Linked DNA regions of Schizosaccharomyces pombe. The gene in region 3 interacts genetically with the main gene of each other region. Each region holds a gene or a part of one and is shown on either strand. Other genes may lie near its edges. The genes, in order: cdc25, win1, mcs4 and wis1.

Region 1 (5,285 bases), on a different chromosome or scaffold from region 3:
TCTTGACCTTTATGAACAGGGAGCTCTCTTTAACGGTCAGGACGTTACCAAGATTCGTGACCCCTTGGCCATGGATACCTCTGTGCTCAGCGCTATTGAAGTTGACCCCTTTGAGAACCTTGATGAAACTCAAACCCTATTTGAGGAAACCTATGGTCTCAAGACCACCGAAGAAGAGCGTCAATTCATTCGTCGTGCATGCGAATTGATTGGAACTCGTTCTGCCCGTCTTTCTGCGTGTGGTGTATGCGCCCTTGTTCGTAAAATGAATAAGCCATCTATGATTGTAGGTACTGATGGTAGTGTCTACAACTTATACCCTCGTTTTAAGGATCGTCTTGCTCAAGCATTTAAGGATATCCTTGGTGAGGAAATTGGCAGCAAAGTTGTTACCATCCCCGCCGAAGACGGTAGTGGCGTAGGTGCTGCATTGGTCAGTGCTCTTGAAGCCAAAGGCAAGGCCCTCACTTCTGATATTCTTGCCGAGCATCTTAAGAATTAAGTCCACTCATTGTTTTTAGGTTTTACGGATACTCATTTGATTTTGTGTCACTGAACTCCACGAAGTGTTCGACAAACTGTTTTATACTGCACTTTTTATTTGTTTCATACTCCATCTTTTTGCGTACAATTTGTTCCAGCAATTTTTATGGTTACACTTTTCTTTGTCTACTAATCACGTATCAGGGCGTTTTTACAAAAAGGTGCTCCACCTGATAAAATATTTTCTTTTTTGCTCTAGTGTTTCTGTGGATACGATATCTGCCTCTGATTGCTAGAATACTTTAAATAAAGGTTAGAGTTTTGTTATATTTTGTATGTTGAAGTGTAATAATAGCGGTATCTTTGTTGAAGATATCCGAGTTTAACAAGACAACTGGCTATACTATCTTGCGAAATATGCCTACTACGACAATAATGGTATCAACCCATAGCTACATAACATCGGGAGACTTTCAATGAGTTACACCCTCGTTTTCCAATTCGGAATGACAGTCCGAGTCCCGAAGTAGAGAGATTCATCGTGTTACGATTATTCGCTAACACCTGATAACATATTTTATCTCGCTGCTCGTGTTACATATCAGGAGTGCGGGTATGAGATTATGGGGATTTAATGGCTGTCAAGCAGGTTACCTGACGTTTGTTCTTATGTATTTGTTTACACATACACAACATTTGGCGTTGCTAGGGCAACAAATCAGACAAACTGCGGTGGATCGAATAGCTGAGATGTATGGACATGTAAACAAACATACAAGATGCAAAAATTTATGTGTTTTCATCTAGTTCAATGTTGTTAATGAAATGATTATTTGCTTTTATATAATTAATAGATTAAGAGGTGACATATTGTAGCTTGAAACGGCATTATCTACGCAACTAAACTATACAACAATAGTTGTCATGGCTGAGGTGTTGGCTAAGTATTACAGCTTACAGTTTAACTTTGCTTTAATCATGTATTTGTTTTTATTATTGTTTTCTGTTACTCGAATTTGTTGGTTGGTGTTTTATTGTTGTTGTTACCTTTGCTTTTTTTTCCTCTCGGAGGCAGAGCTGAGATTTCTCTCTACCCTCAACTATCTACAGCGCTTCAAGCTCTTCTCCTTTAGATCAAGTGTATTACATTGAAAATATTATTCTTAAGAATACCAAAGTTGTAAGTTTAAAAAGAACTTGATGCCTGTTAGTTTCGGGCATCCTTCTCTCCTCAAGTTGGATTCCTGTTGATGCTTCTCAAGTACTAACTGCTGGTTCAGTGATTTTTTGAAACGTCTATAATACAATTGCTTACGCTTTTTAAGGCAATTAATAGGATTCTTGAAGTTATTTGTTCAAGAAGCCTTTATATGGTAAAGTGGGGGGTTTATTACTTGTAACGAACTTTGAGTCTGAACTTTTGGGTATTCTGTTGTTTTCATATTAATCAACTGCTTTCTTTTAACTTTCTTTTTTCTTTCATTTTTTCTTTCAACGACAGTATCTTTTATATTCTATATTATAGTCGTGACCGTTGGTGCTCATCTATTTTTGTCTCATTAATCTCTTTTTTTTTATATACTTTTATTCGGTCTTCCCGTCGTGTGGAGTCTAAACTTACTTAAACTTCTTTCCGGTTTCTTTTGTAAAGGTTGGTTTTGTTTAATATTTGGCTATATTGCTTTCATCCTGTCTTTCTTTTAGTTTTCTTTTTGTCTCACTTTGGCATTAATATCTTAAACCGGTCTTTTGACTCTTCCCTAGGATTTTCCTTTATAATTTATCTTACTTGCTCTATTGATTTCTCATTCTGAAACTCAATCTTTTGCAGTCGTGTCGTCCCATTAGTTCTTTTTGCAGTGTACTTGGTTTAAATTAAATTTACCATTTTGTCTGCTTTTAATAATAGTTAAACCTCAACTAAAATGGATTCTCCGCTTTCTTCACTTTCCTTTACCAACACTCTATCTGGCAAACGGAATGTATTGCGTCCTGCTGCCCGTGAATTAAAGTTGATGTCGGATCGCAATGCAAATCAAGAGCTGGATTTTTTCTTCCCGAAATCCAAACACATTGCCTCAACATTAGTGGATCCTTTTGGAAAAACTTGTTCGACAGCTTCACCTGCATCTTCCTTAGCTGCTGATATGTCAATGAACATGCATATCGATGAAAGCCCTGCCTTACCGACTCCTCGTCGTACGCTCTTTCGATCTCTTTCTTGTACTGTAGAAACCCCTCTCGCTAACAAGACTATTGTTTCACCTCTCCCGGAGTCACCCTCGAATGACGCTTTAACCGAGTCCTACTTCTTCCGGCAACCTGCATCGAAGTATTCCATTACCCAAGATTCCCCACGTGTTTCCAGCACTATTGCTTACAGCTTTAAGCCTAAAGCATCAATCGCATTAAACACCACCAAAAGCGAAGCTACTCGTTCGTCATTATCGAGTTCTTCTTTTGATTCCTACCTTCGTCCTAACGTCTCACGTTCTCGATCATCAGGCAACGCACCCCCATTTTTGCGATCCAGATCGAGTTCCTCATATTCCATTAACAAAAAGAAGGGAACTTCTGGTGGACAAGCTACCCGCCATTTGACTTATGCCTTATCCCGTACCTGTAGTCAGTCGAGCAACACGACCAGCTTACTTGAAAGTTGTCTTACTGATGATACGGATGATTTCGAATTAATGTCTGATCATGAGGATACATTTACGATGGGCAAGGTTGCTGATTTACCAGAAAGCTCTGTTGAACTTGTTGAAGACGCTGCCTCTATTCAACGTCCCAACAGTGATTTTGGTGCTTGCAATGATAATTCTTTAGATGATCTTTTTCAAGCTTCACCCATTAAACCTATTGATATGTTACCCAAGATAAATAAAGATATTGCCTTTCCTAGCTTGAAAGTTAGGTCCCCTTCTCCGATGGCATTCGCTATGCAAGAAGATGCGGAATATGATGAGCAAGATACACCAGTGCTTCGTCGTACCCAAAGCATGTTTCTCAATTCCACAAGACTAGGGCTTTTCAAAAGCCAAGATCTTGTGTGCGTTACGCCAAAACAATCGACCAAAGAAAGTGAGCGCTTCATCTCTTCTCATGTCGAGGATTTATCTCTTCCTTGCTTCGCCGTGAAGGAGGACTCATTGAAACGAATTACCCAAGAAACATTGCTCGGTCTATTAGATGGTAAATTTAAGGATATTTTTGACAAATGCATCATTATTGATTGCCGTTTTGAATATGAATACCTTGGGGGCCATATTAGCACTGCTGTGAATTTAAATACGAAACAAGCTATTGTGGATGCCTTTTTAAGTAAACCTCTTACTCATCGGGTTGCACTTGTTTTTCATTGTGAACATAGTGCGCACAGAGCACCTCATTTGGCATTGCACTTTCGAAATACCGACAGACGAATGAATAGTCATCGTTATCCTTTCCTTTACTATCCCGAGGTTTATATACTTCATGGTGGTTACAAGTCGTTTTACGAAAACCACAAAAACCGTTGTGACCCAATTAACTACGTTCCGATGAACGATGCTTCGCATGTTATGACCTGCACCAAGGCTATGAATAATTTCAAACGAAACGCTACTTTTATGCGTACTAAAAGTTATACTTTTGGCCAAAGTGTGTTAGCTTCCCCAGACGTTAATGATTCTCCTACTGCCATGCATTCCCTCTCTACACTTAGAAGATTTTAATGATTTTAGGCTGACTCAATACTTTACCTAGCCTGAAGTATACTCTTATATATTCAACTTTCTAAACCTAAGTTTTTTCTATAAACTTTGAATCATGAAACCTTTTATTTCTATTTTTTATTATTATTATTGAAAGAAAGCAATATACCTTTTAAAAGGTCTCGACAACAAAAAATTTAAACTGGCTAAACTTTTCGAAGTACATCACTTTTACGACTAAATATCTAGAACGACTAGTTTGGTTATTATTATTACGCATGGATTTTGGTTTAATAATTGATTATTTTATAATCAATTGAGCTTAATAATTTCTAAGCAATCACGGGTAAACATACGTACCGAAGTCCATTCTAATTGCTCTTCTCGCAATTGCTGTTGATAGGAATGCTAAGAATTTAGCATTCTTTGATTGAAGCAGTAATGCGATAGGAACTGAGTTGCTTACGTTTTTGTAACTCTACCTAACCATCTCTGATGGAAATATTTAAGTAGAAAACGAATAAAACTTTTATTTTTAAATCACTTCCTTTTATGCATGTTCTGTAAGCGGTAGTATTGTAGCTTACCCTTTCCAATGGAAGGTTAAGTTCACCAGAGAGTTACGAAGTTTTATGTGATATAAAATAGTTACAATGCGGAAGTTGGACATTCACACTTAAGTACCTTCCCAAAAAAAAAATTACGAAAATTTTTAATCAATACTACTTTTTTGGTAAAAATTTAAACATGTTCCGTTGAGAAAGTGAATCATATGTGTGCTTTTTTAAAATTTGAAGATATTTGTAGATTTTGTTTTGTTTACTTTTTATTTGCAACAATCAGAATGTCGTCATCTAAGTCAACCTTAAATTCGCTTATATGAATTTTATTGATTATGACATCAACGCCCTATGAAGTGCAGCTTTGAACGCCAACGATTGTATTTAATACATTGTAGGATAAACCTCGTAATCATAAATAACGAATTGTTTAAGTATGAAAGTTTGCAGAGCACTTAATGTTCAAACAAACAAATCTTTTTAGGTACACTAATTTAAAGATTTTGGTATCTTTATGAATAACGACCATGCTTCCAAGAAATCATTT
Region 2 (7,153 bases), on a different chromosome or scaffold from region 3:
GAGATCTTAATTGGGAGTCGAATTTTGTTTTACTAACTGTTTTCAAGTATTGATTTAGGAACTGCATGTGGTAAATTATTTCGCGTCGGTGTATTAGCAGTTATTGATGCTGGCGATTCCGACATTCTTGCTGCTTAGGTAAAACTTATTAAAATTTTTAAAATCAATGTTATGGCAGATAAAATAAATCGGATTATTTTTATTGGATTTCCAAGTTTCTGGTAGAATCCAGGAACTCTTTAGCTTGACATATCTAAACAAATGTAAAAAATTCAGCATTAGGCTGATCTATCTTGTATATTAGCGTAACAATGAAACTCATCAATATATGCATTGTATTTACGTTTGATTGTTGTAGCAAGGTAATTTAATTAACGTCTCTTCCTAGCGCCGTAGTAAAAATGATTCTATGATAAAGTCACTTTTACACTCAACTAATTCAATAACGATTCATTTAATGAATACCGCATAGATTGCTACGAATACAAAACTTACAAAGTGTTTAGGACTTTATAATATTTCTCGTCTCTATTAATTAAGTATTAAATTAAAACCGTATCCAAAAAATAGTCATAAGGTGTAAAACATAGCAAACATCTAAAGTTCCAACGGAGCACCATTGGTAGAAGGCGCTGATTCGACTACGGATGAGTTCATAAGATCGAATTCCGTACCAGCCCGTAAGGGATACACCCATGGATCCATTAATAATTCGGCAGCTGTAGCGCGCTGATTGGGATCAGAAACAAAACAACGTTTGAGGAAATTTTGACCCAAAGGCGAAAGCTGATCATCTGCAGGAATAATAGGAGGATTATGTGCAGCAATGTGATACATCAAAGAAAAATGATTATCTAATCTAGGCCAAGGTGGGGAACCCGTAGCCATTTCAACAATAACACATCCAAGTGACCAAATATCCATAGCACCAACCCTTTCGGACGGATTACCAAGAATTAATTCTGGCGCCATATACGTAGGTGTTCCTGTCAAGGAGTAACCGCGATTTTGGTCTAGATGCTGCAAAAATTCCGAGTCTTTTTCAAACTCTTCCTCTTCTTGTTGTGTTAACTGTTCAAAAATTTTAGTTGAAGCAGAACCCGACATCTTGGCAGAACCAAAATCTGTAAATTTCATGATCCCGTTGTGATCAAAAAGGATATTCTCAGGCTTTACATCTTGATGTGAAACACCACAGGAGTGTATGTAAGCCAATCCTTCTAATAATTGTAGGACATAAACTTGAATTACCAATTCGTCCTCAATTCTACCGTAACGTAGAAATTCGAAAAGCGAAGAGCCTTGACAAAGTTCCATAAATATATTAACTTTTTCACGATGCACTTCGATACCATAATACGATACGACATTAGGATGATCAAAGAGTTCAAGTACTAACATTTCACCTTTAATCCTCTTGATCATCGGTCTAGATATACGAGGTTTATGCAATGCCACTTCTTTAACAGCCATTAAATCTCCTGTATCCAAGTTAACAGCACGATAAACCGTACCGAAAGAACCGCTACCTATAAGTCCACCCTGTTGCCATCGAATCGTGATATTAGATTTCGAAGAGGCTAGCTCTTTCAATAGCCTGTTCTCCTTTGTCGTATCATCCAAAACACGTCCAATGAGCTGGGACTTATAAAGTCGGTCCCTTCTATTACTTTCTAGTTCAATTATCCGATGCATAACCTCCTCCTTGACAAAGGAAGCCAACTCATTATCCGATAAACGACTTCGGTCGGAATTATTTCGAACAAGGCGAGCTGGTATATCTCCAGCTTGTTGGTCCATACTACGACCAGCATGTTTAGTACCCATAACATCAAAGTGCAAAAGTAATAATGCCACACATTTTCCAACCTTTTCTTTGAGTTCTTCAAATGATTTTTTATCAATCATTAAAATGTTCGAACCGTATGTCATAATCATTGCGAATTCTAAAGCCGTAACAGTCCAACGAAACGTATTTCTATCGGTAGGAGAACAATCCTCATAGATGAATCCAACCCAACTGATCGCCAGCTGTATCATTTTGCGACGAATCAGCCCAATGCTAGATGCGTCTAGGATCGAAAGCCTCATTAATCGTTGTGCAAATTCAATGGCGTAAGAAAAAGAATAATGAATTAGATTTTGGCAATTCATGCCATGGTACCTTGTACGAATTGTTTGTATCACATCAAGCAATGACAAAGCCAACTTCAAAGAATTTCGTTTAATTTTGGTCATTTGTTTGTTGATTTTGGATGAATTTGCTTTCGCAGAATCAACAAGTGAGACTGTGTCACCAACTATACTAATAAAATAATCTTCGATAACAGAGAGTTGATTAGCTGTCGCTAACGTTACTAAACGGACACAGTTAGGAGCAATGGAAATTGACACTTCCGGAATATCAAGATCTGTAACATGGCCGTTCCAACATATTGAGCTGTCTGGAGCCAATACAACCGCATATGGAGGTACACTTTCAAAATTATTATCTCCTTTATTAAAAGTCATTGAAAGTACCTCACGAAGTATATTAGGGGAATCAACTAGGTGTCCTGGAACAATTACGTATGCTCCTTCATGTTCGATACTCGCCGTATATGTCAAAACGTGATTTGATTCTTCAAGGCGTTGTATTAAAAGGGATAATGAATTCTCTTTAATAACGTACTCGCAAGAATTTTCCAAATGCGCTTTTAGTATACGAGTAAAACTCATCAATTTTCGGAAGCGAATTCTAACACAGTCAAGCACCTTGATATAAAATGAGGTGATCAATGCAGAGTCATCGGTATCGGGCCCCTGCAGCTGATCTTTTAGATACCTATTGATATTGGTCAATATTTCACCAACCAGCGAAGAAAGACTTTTAGACATAATTTGGAATCCGTGTTCGATGTGGGGACAAACAGCGAGCAGAAAATCCCATTCTCCTTCTAAAATTTCGGTTTCTTTGAAATGCAGCAAGGCACAGCCATTGCGAACCTTACGATGTAATAAATTGAAGTAAAATTTCAATGAGGCAACTAAAATATTGTTTAAGGACTGGTTTTCATCAACAAATTTGCTATCATCACGAAAAGGTTTGATTAGAACAGTGTGTTGTTGAATGATATGGACGGCAACTTTCATAGTGTTCCGAAGGTCATCTAGTAAAGAGTCAATCGTAAATAAAGAAATTGAGGTAATATTTTCTGCACATGATAAGCGAAGATTTAGGAACTCTTTGATTAACCTAAACGGAAAAGAAAGAAGACGCATGTAATCATCAGCAATAAGCGGCAAGCCATAACTTTTTAAATCATCCGCATATGTAACAATCGTATTACAAACTTTGCTTAATACGCTATTCATATTAGTCATGATTCTTTGCTCAAAAGCTCGAATCAAACCGGTTTCTCTATAAAAGCGCTCCACAAATGGTCCGTTTGAAATTTGAGAAACGTTATTAATAGAATTTGTAGTATTTTTGGTAATGTCCATTTCCTCATTACCAACCCACGAGCGAATAATGTTAACTTGAATTTCTAGCGCATGAGTGACATTAGAATAAGCCGTCAAGACATCCAACTTGTGCTGAAAAGATTCTGAAGCATATAATGAATGTTCCTGAAGGATAGAACGACGTGAAGGATATAAACGTTCATATTTATCAAGTTTTTGCAGCATGTTATCGACAGCAACAATAGGGGTTAATTCGTTGCTCTCATCCCAATGAAAATTCATAATGGCCAGTAGCACATCAACCATACCCGTACGAAGATGTTTTAAATTTTCTCTATAAGAATCAACGGAACGATGAGTAAGCCAACACCATATTTCCATCCACAAATTATCAGAATAATCACTATTTCGCCCTTCTCGAGAAGAAGCAATCTTTCTTAGCCGTAATTTTTCAGATCGGACTATATCACCAGTCAGAACTGAAGTCAACATATATTGCCATTCAAAACGTTCTTTGTTTTTTGGGTTAGCCATTAAATCATCAGAAAGTAAGGATGGGAGATTCAGAACAGATTGTACCCAATTTACAGTTGAAGTCTCAGAATCTAAATCCGAGTCCTCCTCATCATAAGTTTCATTAACATTAGAAAAGTAATAAGTTGAACTATCACGACGAATGCTTAGAGAAGGATCGTTATAATCATATTCTGGGTCAAAACACTTTAACGAACTACTCAGTCGTCTTAATTGAGATTTCCTCTCAGGATGATCTTCAATTTTAGCAAATGTTATAGAATTTCTTAGTTTGTGAGAACGCTTGGGCTTTTCTGGCAAATTTTTAGTTTTGCTTGGAACTGCTGTTGAATTTATGTGTTCAACATCAATCATTGGCGACGAAATAGAACGTCCTCTGTGCATATAATCGTCTTCCTTAATACCGGGAGACTTTATTATCCTATTTGAGCTAATACTACTTTGCAGACTAGGTCGGATAGGATGATCGAGGTTTGAATGACCAGCATTCTTAATTGGTATAGGAATGGAAGAGGAAGAAGTAGGAGGATGTAGTAGATTACTAGTATCGCTTGGACTTACGGCATAAGCACGATCTAATTCATCAATATTGATTGGGTCAACAGGGGTAGAAATAGTAAGGGCCTCGGCTGGAGGCTGTTCAGCCATTCTGAAAGCTTCTGAAAATAAGTCCTCTTTGGCGCTCGCCTTGGATCTATCACTTGAGCTACGCGCAACAGATGGCCTTCTGTGATTTTCTTCTTTTCCGTTGTTAGGAAGTTCAAGCATAGACGAGGTAAAACTTGAAAGTAAAGTCAAAGAGCGACGATGAGCCTTTTCAAATGTTTTATCACGCAATTCACTATCAAGAATTGGATTGATAGAAGATCGCCTTGAGCCATTTTCTAGTATATGTGAATTGACCACAGAAGGATCCAAAATATTTTCCATGTTTGTTGAGGAACAAATTTCGAATTGCTTCAGAAGTTATGTATAAAAAAGACCGTTATACCCAAATTTAAACCCAAAACGGGAAACAGATAAGTTTGGAATAGTGGCAAGTAGTAGTAGAATAATTGTTTACTGAAGTCAAAAATGGGAGTGGGTAATGAAAAAGTGGTTTACAGATGCAAGGAATGCCAACTCAGTGTAAGGAATTGTGCAGCGAAGTCAATGCAACTACTGTTATATGTAAAAATAAAAAATCCGAAGTTGACAAAGACAAATAACGATTGCAGGAATTACCAACCGAACAGAATTCAGGTTGTAAGTATATTAAAGTAATGCAGTCAAATTGAGGAACGTAGAGAGAGAGACACACACACACATCCAAAGCAATGGGTTTTCGAAAAGATACGGTAAATATTAATGAGCAGAAAAAAATGATAAAATATTAAATGTAGAAATTCGGCTTAAAAAATCGATAAAAGTGTTGTGTAAAAAAATTATACGAGCCGAAGAGCAGTAAAACTACCGCGTATAAATTGTTGAAAGAGCAATAATCAGTGAACTAAAAAGTCAATCCTCCTTGTAGAATATGTGGAATTGACAAAAAGAAAATTTATAGGTTTGCGGTGTGCAAAGGATAAACAACTAATTGTGGTCTAACCCCGTAGTATAGTATGAAGTGGGGTACTAGTTTTAAGGATTTTCAGTGCAATGAGGAATTTCTCACTAAATAGCAAAATCATAGATATGGGTTTTCAGGTATTTTTGATTTACATTCTTTTACTTTAATTTAATAAAATCTTTTTATCACAGAATAAAGGTTGGACTAATATTCACAAAAGACAAAACATCTGTCTAGTACTTTTTCCGAAATATTATTGCAAAATAGATTTATTAAAAAGAGAAAACGAAAGAAATTTACAATAAAACCAAAAGCTTCTTAAGATGCAGAAGTATAAAAAGGTTGTAATGGCCAGTTTCACCTTTACTTGCTATCCACCAATGCGAAACTGTTCTCACAATTATTGAAATTATCCTAAGCGAAATTTTGACACTTTGGATAACAAAATAGATACTTCCCATTCCATTAATGGATTAAATAGCCAAAAAGAGAAACTCAGTGTAATAATAGTTGGAGTTGGGACATTAAATAATGCACATGATCGTTTAGCCCTGGTAGCATGGACGCATCGAAATCTAATGAAGAATCCCCTTCCAACTTAACTTTATATTTTGATAAAATGTTTTGCGCGTCCTCATCCTTTAAATCAGAATAATTTGCAGGATCCGCTAACCGTAGAATAGCCTTAGCCTCTCCTAAAATCTCTGAGTCCTTGTCGTAAATATCTTTGGAATTTGCCTTTTCGTAAAGATCTTTTAAGTCTATTTGTGTTTTTAGTTAGCAGCGGTTAAAACTAAAGCATTACAACACATGAATGTCTTACCTTTGATGGATCTCGTAAATTCCTTCACCTCAAAAAGCTGTTCTCGAACGGTGTGTCCTGCACTGTTTACCGTTTCGGGAATTATCAATGGACTATCGAATTTCACATTAAAGTCCTGCTCCCAATCTGAATCCGCATCGTCCGCAAATAAATCGCAACGAGATGAAAATCGAATATCCGATGAATCGTTATTTATATGAGTCGTTTGCGTATTGTCTTGAATGATAGGTTCCGACACTTTCGACGACTCTGGCGAAGTAGTCGATAACTCGTCCCAGCAAATACCATCCGAACTCTCATCTTCTTGCGTAGTCGCACCCAAAGAAGTTTCTTGGATTTGCTTAGCTAATTCATTTATCCGAAAGGAATCTGTCTCATTATCATCATGAAGCTCACCTTCAATAAATCCATTAACTGAAGGTAGTTCAGCACCTACACCACTAGCCTTGCTCCCTTTATTGGCCGAATTAAATTCATTACTTAACGCAGTTTTTTTACAGTTGCCTTTGTTTATCTCATTCGCCGTAAAGTGAGACAACGACGTACTGTCTGCACCTGAAGCGTTGCGTTGTACAGTACTTTTTGACTCAACTCCTATGAATGAAAAAATTCGTTTAGAAAATTTTCGGGAGTAACTTCTTAAGCTTTCAAATGCTGAGGGTTTCCTCCATGAGCCTTGATCTATGCATTCGGAGGTGTTAACTTCTTTCGGTAATCCAAGCTGTTTAGGGCGCCTCGGTGTAATATCTGAACCATAACTTTTCATGCCTTTCACATGCCTTCGTTGTAGAGTCACACCTTCA
Region 3 (4,508 bases):
GGACCCCTTTGTCTGTTCTAGCTGCTCGCGCAATACACAAATGTTCAGCATCAATGTTATTTGTTTTTAAATAGCCCAATTTTTTAAGTACAGCTACAACATCTCCTTCAATTGTTTTAAGGGGATTATTTATTTGAATCCCATGGTAACCATAACCAGAATATCCCAATAAAATGATGATACGAACTTTGTTAGATTCTTTTGTGCCCTCGATTTTTTCTCGCTTTGGTAATTTTGGTGTTTCTAGATCCTCTGCGGGTATATGCTCCTGTTGATTTTTTCTTTTCGAGATAGAAGTCATTTTTTATAAAACAAATCTTCTAAAAAAATTTAAAGAAAAAAAAAACACCACAGTTTACTATTAATTACAAAAACGTATTAAAACAAAAGACACAGAAAATATTGGTGTTTAAGTGTGGTATGGACGCAATCAAGAATGATGCACACGAGATTGAAATACGCTCATTTTTTAGCGACATATTAAAAGTCTTTACAACTAAAATATTAGATACGAAAATAAGATATCCTACTTTATTATCTTTGTAGATGAATAACGAAATTTTGGAGTTTTAATGTACAACATAATATTAGGTAAATCAGAAAGTGTTTAGTTATAAGGATAACACAATTAGCAATAAGTATCTATGACAAGCTGATCCATTAATAATTAAGGCAGGTAATTAGGTAAAGGAAAAGAGGAAATTATTTTGCTAGCAAACCATAGCGTCCGACAAATTGATAACCAAAAGATTAATTTTATACAATAAAAGATTACGGAAATAAAATGAGCGGAGCTCGACTTATTGTGGTGAACAGAACAAAACACAGTGATACAAAATTTGGTAAGGCTAATATCATCGACCGCGAAAACGGCACCAACCATTCCAATCAATAAGCGCTTGCATACAGCCCCACTCCGTAATTTTTTTCTCTAGCCAAACTAAAGAGACAGGCTTTGTAAGAAAATCATTGCAACCAGCAGCTAAAGCCTCGTTTCGATCAGCCATTAGGCTAGAAGCAGTAAGTGCCACTATAATCACAGGAGATTGAAATTTGTTTTCATTTAGCTGATCCTTTTCAGGTATCGGTTGTGTCAATTTTGGAGCACCAACTCCAATTGCGTTTAACCGCTCAAGTCTCCTAATTTCTTGGGTGACTTCAATACCGGACATCGTGGGAAGTTGGATGTCCATTAGAATCAAGTGAAAAGATTTCTTTTTCCACTTCTCGAGTGCTTCAAGCCCATCTTTAGCAACCTCCGAGGAAATATTGCGCTTCTTCATAAAAGTCTCTAGGATTTTTTGATTAATAATATTATCTTCAACAATCAAAACGTTAATTGGAGGAATCACTCCTTCAAGTAGACTAGCAAAAGGTGCTTTCGCACCTATGCCGGGACTTGTTAGAACATTGACTGGTGAAGTACCAACAATTCCATCTATTTGATTAGAAGGAAATCCTAAATGGGCTTGTGTATCAGCATTTAAGGGATCTTTGTTGTCTGCTATAGGAAATTGAGAACTGATATCAGGGTTCATCCTATTTGCTGCGTCAATATCAGCATTAACCGCGGGAAGGACTCCTGCGGTACCAGATTGTTTCGTATAAAGCGATGAATGACTAATACTTCTACTATTAGTGGGTGTCGCGACTTCGGCTTTCGCCAATTTTTCAGCTGTTGATTCATCAGACCGAGTCGACATTCCAATAGAATTTTTTCTAGTAATGGATTCGGCTTCGTCTGATGGTTGCGACTTGTCAGCTGAAGTTAGATCTGGTAAAGAGGGTCTTGAAGCCAATGTTTGCTGTCTAGAAGAACGAGGCAAAAGTAGTACGCCAGTTTTATTTACATTAGAGGAAGGAAGAGTTTGATGGGACCTAGTTCGGGATGCATTTCGTAAATTATAATTTAAAGGACCTCCTTTATAAGAATAAGTACTTTGATGTCGTGAAGGGGCAGAAACCGGGCTCTCAAGTGAATCAAGAGCAATGGATGGCTGTTTGATACGCGGGACTGTTTCGTTCGCTGGGGTAGGGATTATGTTAGGTGGGTATTCAGAAAAAACGGGAGGTGTTGATTCAAATGTAGAGGATGAGAGTTGAGAAGAGCGATATCTTAAGGCAACTGAGGTATCCGGCGACGCTACTAGAAGCGCGTCGTTAAAATCCTGACCATGAGGATAATAAGTTTCCATGACAAATAATATGCTTTCGTTGGGACTGAGTTCTCTAGATTGCAACTCCGATGATGCATTTGGTGGAGCTACTACACGAATCGAAAGCTCAGGTGCATCATAATACTGACTGATACGAATAGGGAATTTCCGAGCGATGGCATCTTTTAAATCGTCAACCAGATGATCTTCAGACAATATAACGGAGGAAGTAATCCCATCTGGAACTTTTTTAAACCAAATGCGCATCTTCTATATATCTTCTTTCTTTTGACTTAACCTCAACTTTCCTATATACAGTATGAACAACCAAAACAGCCGCCTGTTTTTACGTTTAACATTCGATAGCTTCTTGTATAATCCCCTTCTATTTTAAATTTAATAGAAATATACAAGTATAAAATCACTGTTCGTGATAAGGAATGAGTAAGGTATGGTTCACGATACAATACGGCAAGCCTACTTAAGGTGTTGAGTTTCGTTACCTAGTCGTGCAACAAGCGCTGGGGATTTAGTAGAGTACTTAGAGTAACACCTTCCATCTGAGGACAAAAATCGAATAAATTTTAACACGTGAAAATAATAGGCACAGCTAAAACTGCGATTGTAAATTATACATTCTACGATACGAGCAAATAAGTATTCGTTTAAAAGGGATACTGTTGTGTTATTGACTTACTATTAGAATTCGACATTACTAAAATTTAACTAATTGAGTAATTGTTTCTGAAATTTATTCCTTATTTTAGATTTTATTTAAAGTATGTAGTTTAAAAAAAAAAAAAATTAAACGTTATACCCATACTTAGTTGGCTACCATTAATGGTCCTATTACTACTTGTCAGGTTTGGATATTTAATGACTCAGATTAAATGATTTAATCAACACAAACCAATATTTTTGAAATTCAAAAATAATGAGGCTTCAATTTCTCAATGAGAAACCAAAAAAAATTATTTTAGATAGTAACCCATTTAGTCATAGAAAAAAAAACCGTGTTTGATTATATGTACAATTTATCAACTCATTTATTTTTATCAGGTTCTTAAATCATAATGATAAACCTAGGCGATTCTATTAGGAAGCAATATATTAAGGACTAATAAAATAAACAATAAATATTAATGATTAGGAAATCAAACGCACCAAGATAATCAAATTGATAAACAAACTATAGATAAATGACAGAAATATTGAATCAACAAAATTGCAACTCATTCAAAAAGTTATCAATTTACACTTAAAGAATTATTTACCACAAAACATACTGTAGCGTTAGCATTTGTTGCTCCTGTTAATAACGACTTCTGATCTCGATGAACTCAAAAAGTTCGAACCAACATAATATAGCGAGTGCTTTTGATCATTCAAGAATTAGAAATGAATGCTAACAATACTACATTACAATTACGAATTACTATATGTCACATGTTCTGATTACCTATCGTCTTACAAATGATAACAATACGATGTAGATCCACTAATAAATTTTTTAATTTATTAGCTAGAAATGATAGATGTAAAATCAAAGGAACAACGTTCTTTAGTTCAGCTGTGGTGGTTTGTTTAGAGATAAATTACATTACCGCCTTCATACAAGGATATCCGTAACCCCCGTTATCATACAACCATATGTACCGCTATGTAGTGCACATACGAAAATCAAGTAGTCTAACATATCATTAATGATAATTACGAACTGCATAGCTAAAAAAAATAAAACGCAATATCAAACTTAACGAAAATATTTTGTGTAAACGTTAATAAACTGTAATTATTTTAAGGAAAAGTGCTTATTCACGTTGTTAAAATAAAAAAGTACAACCTACAGATGCGTACACAGAAAGAAGTGAGTTTATTCGTTCCGCGAACTAGCTTGGCAGTAAATTTTGGGGAATTGACTTTTGTACATTATAGCATACCATTGTGGATCAATTTTATGTTCATTGCATTTTTTTAGTAATTATTACTTCTTAGAGTTCCTTTTTTTTTCAACAAAACCTTCGGATTTACGTCTGAGGTGATCGATCTTTTCATGCTATGTCTGCTCATGAGGTGTCCTCCACAAAAAACTCAGAAATTGAAAGAATTATTAAAGAGGCAGAAGATGCGGGTCCTGAAAATGCACTTACGTTAGATCTATCTCATCTAAACTTGCGGGAATTACCTTATGAACAATTGGAAAGAATCCAGGGTCGGATAGCGAGACTAGCGCTAGGCCATAACTTTATAAAGAGTATTGGTCCTGAAATCCTAAAGTTTACTCGTCTCCGGTACCTAAATATTAGATCGAATGTCCTTAGAGAGTTTCCCGAATCTTTGTGTCGACTTGAG
Region 4 (5,226 bases), 2.4 Mb from region 3:
TGAAACTGCAAAAGCGAAATACGCATCTCAAAAGCGACCGTAATATATTACGGCGTTCTTTCTCAAAAAATATTCCACTATGAAGGAATTTTCATTTCCAGGATAAAAATCTGTTATGACTCTAGATTACCTTGTTGGACTTATGTTGGGAGAATTTGTTTCTTTGATATATAAAAGTCTCGTACTTTTTAAATAAATGAATACCTCAAATCTCTTTGAGTAATATATTAATAGTTTAAGTAATTATTATTAGGTCGATATAATATCTATTAACACTTGCATTTACGATGGATTCAATCTCTCTAAGTAATCACCATTGTAGGAAACAGGAGATCATAGTAGCTAAAACGACGGAGCCAGTCAACGAAGTTTTAAAAGAAATAAATTAATACAGTACAAGTAACTTTTACAATTGCAAACTTTCGTTTGCACTTCTAAAGCCCCTTAGTTAAATAAAAAAAAAGTTTTTTATGGTGGACGTAAATGCCTTAAACAAATGTAATAACACATTAAATACCCGTTTTAATTTAAAGCAAAAATGCAAACATCAACTACCGTTATACGGAATCATACCCAAATTATTAAATTTATGAAAAAGCACAAATGCAAAATAGCGTCGGTTCTGCTGAAACATAATTATGGATCACGTAATAGTCATGCATTCGAAATTAAAGACAAACACCAATGCGCATGGGTACTTTAAAACAGAGCAGGCAATTAGAAAGCAGGCGAACCTTTAGCTTCTTTTTTCACCTTTCTCTTTAAGAGCGCCTTTTGCCCATGAAGCCATGTCCACATCTGCATTTTGATATTTTAACAACCATGGATGGTTAGCCAACTCATGATAATCGGGACGCAAAGACGGGTTTTTATTCAAACACTTGTTTACAAAATCACGAGCTTCGGGAGAAAATGAATCGGGGAGAGAAGGTGGATCGCCATCGCAAATCGCCGATAGTTGTGCAAATATTGAAGTATATGATTCAGGTGGATACGGATAAGCTCCTAAAGCCATTTCTAAAATGGTAAGGCCTAGAGACCACACATCAGCCTGTACGGTGTAAGTCAAGACGCCATTGGTAGGTCCACCAACACGAATTCTTTCAGGAGCCATGTAAGATTGACATCCAATGTTCGTTTTGGATATAGAAGCCACAAGATTCCCACTCACGCCAAAGTCACATAACTTAACCTGGCCATTAGAATTTACCAAAACATTAGTAGGTTTAACGTCACGATGAATGATATTATGCTCCTCTTTCAAAGTTTTGAGGCCTTGCACTACAGCATAAGCAGTTCTAGCTAAAACTCCTTCGTCTTTGATACCACCAGCATACAGTTTGTCCATGCTACCAGCATCCATATATTCCATACAAATAAAAACAGAACCTTCCACAAAAAAGGCACCATAAAAGTCAACGATATAAGGACTAACTGCTTTATGTAAAATATCCAATTCCATTATAATTTGATTAAATGTTGCTTCTTCTAAGGACAACCTAATTTCCTTCAAGGCCATAGTGACACCAGTCGGTTGATGCAATGCTTTATACACAACACCATAGTTACCTTTTCCAAGTTCTTCAAGCTTAATAATCTCTGACATATTAATACGAAACGAAGAGCCAGATGAAAAGTTAACACCTTCTGAATTTAACACGGCTTTGTTTTTAAAATTTAAGGTGCCTGATTTTGCATCCAAAATATCCGAAAATGTGGAAAAAGGGGTTTCCGAAACAGCCTGTTTAAGGGTGGGAGGAATGTTTAGGCCACGGCGAGAAGCCATGCTAGACGGACTGACAGGGCTGGTGGGATTGGAATTGGATAAATCGAGTTTTCCAGGTGGTGCACGACGGATTCTCGTTTGTCGATTGAAGGACGTTGGACGGTTGAGTAAAGGATTCCTAGCAGCAGCAAGTGATTTTGCAAGCCCGGACTCTGGCATATTCGGAGACTTTACGGGCGAATTACTTAATCGACCAGCAAGTTGAGAGTTAGGCAAAGGATAACTTCCTCGTTGACCCATACCGACAATAGGGGTAGTTGGACTACTGATCTTGTTGACTACTTCCGGCATTGATTTTGATCTAGATGCATGGAAGGCCTTCAATTTCTCCTGTATATCAGTTGAAAGTCCTCCAGGAAATGGGCCCGGTGGAGTAGGAGGAGATCCAATATTGTTCTGACCAGCTGCTGTAGGAAGTGAACGTCTAGGTTTTTCCGAAGGATCCTTCATGTCAAGGTTAAGAGAGTTACGACTCCGACTGGACGTAGATCTGCCAAGTCTGACCGTAGGCACGGCACGGGGAAGAGGGGGATCGGAAGGTATTTCACGACTAGGAGAAGAAACCTTTGAGTCATTGTCACTGCCACTACTGTTAGAATTTAAAGACAAGGAACCCAAGGAAGAACCAGAAGAATCGGTGTTTGAAGAACTTGAAGACGAAAGAGAAAGGAGCGAGCCGGGAGTACCAACATCACCGGGAGGTGCGGTAGGAGAAATAGACAGCTGTCTCAATGAGCAAGACAAGGGTTGATTATTTGGAGAAGACATATAAAATAAATGTGCTTCACAAACTTAAAAAAAAAGAAAAAAAAATTAGGTAAACTAAATTCCGGTAATATAAATGAAGCAAAAGTGAAGATGAACGAAAGTGAGATGGCAATACAAAAAAGGTATCTTGGGTGAAAAGAACAATTAAAATTAGACAATCAATTACGAGTCGTCTCCGACGAAGAAGGAAAAAAAAAGCGGTGGTCTAAAAAGTCCGCAGGAAGGATATTCCAAGAAAAAAAAAGGAAGTTTAAAGGCAATCACCTACGAGTAGCTTTGTGTAGGTAAATGCCACGGAAAAAAAGGAGGTTTGGAAGGGTTTAAATTTAACAGCAAAAGCCAGAAACTGGAAGAAACAGGGGCTTAGATAATAAATTTCCCAAGGAGAACTAAAGAAAAAAAAGTAAAAAGGTGTGGGTTAATCTTAGTCCGAGAAGTCAATACTTTAAAACCGAGTTATGACCGACGAGTAAGGAGGCAAAGGTAAGGAGAAAAAGTAATAATTCACAAACACGAAATAAAAAGGAAAGAAATTTGAAATTATCTTTCTAAAAGATAACACGTAAGGGTGTGGAAGGAAGAGAAAAAATTCAGAAACGCTTTTCTCTTACAGTAAAGAGCAAAAAAAATTCTGCTCTTTAAAGGAAATGGGAAAATTTAGGGAGGGTGATAAAATAGGAAGTGTAGTCGGTACGATGTAAATAAGATATACACGTCGAAAGGGAATGCTTGAGAGATTAGGAATCCCAGCTATCGCCAGCCGGCTGGGGTATGTTTGGGTATACAAGAAGGTGGAATGGGATGGAGTTGGTGAAGGATAAAAGGATAACGAAAGTCAGACAACACGTTGCTTAATCTTAAGGAGAAACTTTTGCACGTTAGCTTACGTATCAGTATATAAGGATAACGTGGATAAAAAAATGTTTCATCAAAACAAGGGATGGTTAAGGGATACAATCAAATTTGTAAAATCAAAATAACGTGAAGCCAAATAATATGCTGCAGATCTCCGTATAAGCGTAACGACCTGTATGAATCATTCGACAAGATTTCTAACAAGGTATCCTGAGATTTATATGCAAATGGAAAGAATGTACGGCAGAAATAGCTGGTAAGAAATACCTCGATGGATTAATGGGAAAGCACAGGATGATTGGGTAAAATGCTCAACGTATAGAGAATAATACATAGAAGTAAAGAAAAACAGAAAAAAAAAGGGCCGAAAAATATTTTAATGGAAGATAAACACAACGATTTATCGGTCTTGACAGAAGGAATTGAATTGTCCGATAGATATGGTAGTGTTTGATTAGAAAAGAATAAAGAATAAATAAATAAAAACAAAAATAATTAATGATTAGGTGCATAGGGCTTTAAGTTTCAAAGCTGGTATTCGAATGTCAATGTATACTAAGAAAAATCATGATCCAAGGTAAAATGTATAACCAAATAAATAAGAGAAATATAACTAACCTAGTAGCTTCCGTCCTTGAGAGCGATAAAAAAAAGCGAGTTAACGCACAAGTGTTTCGAAAAGGTGTAGTAATGTATAATAAAACATTTTTTAATAATCGTTAAAAGGTTCAGCAAGTGGAATGAAGAGAGTGTGTTATTTGTGCTCTAGAAGCAGCGTAAAAAAAAATTTATTTATTTTTAAATTTTTTTTTTTTTTCTAATTTTTTTAAATTTCTTTTGTTTAAGGAAACACACAAAAATAATGTAAGAGTAGCAGCAAAACTGCTAGGAACATTTTGTTCTATGGAAAAAGACACTGAAGTGAAAAGTGCAACGAAGGGGTAGAACTTTCGTAGGAAGGAAAAACAAGCAAAGAGAAAAAAATTTACAAAAGTTCCTAGATCACTCCATCTATATGCAAATGCATAATGTACGGTGTATGCTCGAACAAAGTAGAAAGGGGGCTATAAAAACGATTTGAGGATAATCCTTTATTAATGAGAAAAAATTTGGAACGTCTAGTTTTGCGCCAACATCAAGGGAAGACAAAAAAAATTTTCATTAAAACAGACTCAATAATGTTCAATTGAGATAGAAGAATACAGAAAGAGTCGAATGATTGAACATGTGGTGAAAAAGGCTGAAGATGAAACTAGATAGAAAGAGGCTGTATTCCCAACATCCAAAAATGAGGAAAAACTAAAGAAGAGAAGGAAAGTGGAATAAAATGAAGAAATTAAAAGAGAAAATCATACGATGAAACTGAGAAGAAGAAGAAGGCATTTTATTTTAATTTTATTAATTTTATTAGATTTCATTTCGTTTGACGCTTTACGGTTTCATGAAATGCCAAATTGCTAATTCTTTATTAGATTTTGGAGTATTTTCATTGTTAGTCTGCGAGTATTTTCATTATTAGTTTGTATTTAAAAAGTTTCATCGTATGTTTCTATAGATGCGTTTTTTTTTACATTATTTGAATTGAATGAAGAATTGATTTGCTATAAGAGAAATTTTTGACTTGGTATGGTTGCTGGCTGGCACCCACGGCTGCGTATGCCACATACCATACAATAGTAGACTAAGACGACTGTACATACGAATGGTAGTTGTTTTTTGGGGAAAGGAAAAAGGAATTCTTTGATAGTTAGAATGAATAAAAGGGTAGCGCTTATAATACACTGAGTAGAGAAAGAAAAGCGTGAAAAGATGACTGA

What was found.
Region 1: mutations in mcs4 (region 3) and cdc25 are lethal when combined (synthetic lethality), as found in Schizosaccharomyces pombe (3 studies listed by BioGRID, with this or other methods).
Region 2: of mcs4 (region 3) and win1, changing one enhances a phenotype caused by changing the other (phenotypic enhancement), as found in Schizosaccharomyces pombe (one study listed by BioGRID).
Region 4: of mcs4 (region 3) and wis1, a mutation in one rescues a mutant of the other (synthetic rescue), as found in Schizosaccharomyces pombe (one study listed by BioGRID).

The regions. Positions count from the first base shown.
Region 1 is NC_003424.3:478,664-483,948, reverse strand, and holds cdc25 (protein tyrosine phosphatase (M phase inducer) Cdc25), read left to right. Parts: upstream 1-1,575; 5' UTR 1,576-1,663; exon of another isoform or gene 1,664-1,763; 5' UTR 1,764-2,408; coding exon 2,409-4,199; 3' UTR 4,200-4,721; downstream 4,722-5,285. Other genes in the region: hxk1 (hexokinase 1), read left to right, coding at 1-502; DNA replication pre-initiation complex subunit Sld3, read left to right, coding at 5,253-5,285.
Region 2 is NC_003424.3:5,088,196-5,095,348, reverse strand, and holds win1 (MAP kinase kinase kinase Win1), read right to left. Parts: upstream 5,534-7,153; 5' UTR 4,909-5,533; coding exon 598-4,908; 3' UTR 501-597; downstream 1-500. Other genes in the region: rpl3002 (60S ribosomal protein eL30), read left to right, coding at 48-138; Spg1-binding protein Etd1, read right to left, coding at 6,023-6,288, 6,351-7,153. UniProt on the Schizosaccharomyces pombe protein: Involved in a signal transduction pathway that is activated by changes in the osmolarity of the extracellular environment. Activates the wis1 MAP kinase kinase by phosphorylation.
Region 3 is NC_003423.3:3,555,189-3,559,696, reverse strand, and holds mcs4 (response regulator Mcs4), read right to left. Parts: upstream 2,610-4,508; 5' UTR 2,424-2,609; coding exon 855-2,423; 3' UTR 560-854; downstream 1-559. Other genes in the region: tRNA pseudouridine synthase Pus2, read right to left, coding at 1-301; leucine-rich repeat protein Sog2, read left to right, coding at 4,215-4,508. UniProt on the Schizosaccharomyces pombe protein: Response regulator that coordinately controls the stress activated wak1-wis1-sty1 MAP kinase pathway and fission yeast cell cycle.
Region 4 is NC_003423.3:1,143,231-1,148,456, forward strand, and holds wis1 (MAP kinase kinase Wis1), read right to left. Parts: upstream 3,374-5,226; 5' UTR 2,555-3,373; coding exon 737-2,554; 3' UTR 501-736; downstream 1-500. Other genes in the region: ubiquitin hydrolase Uch2, read left to right, coding at 1-43. UniProt on the Schizosaccharomyces pombe protein: Dosage-dependent regulator of mitosis with serine/ threonine protein kinase activity. May play a role in the integration of nutritional sensing with the control over entry into mitosis. It may interact with cdc25, wee1 and win1. May activate sty1.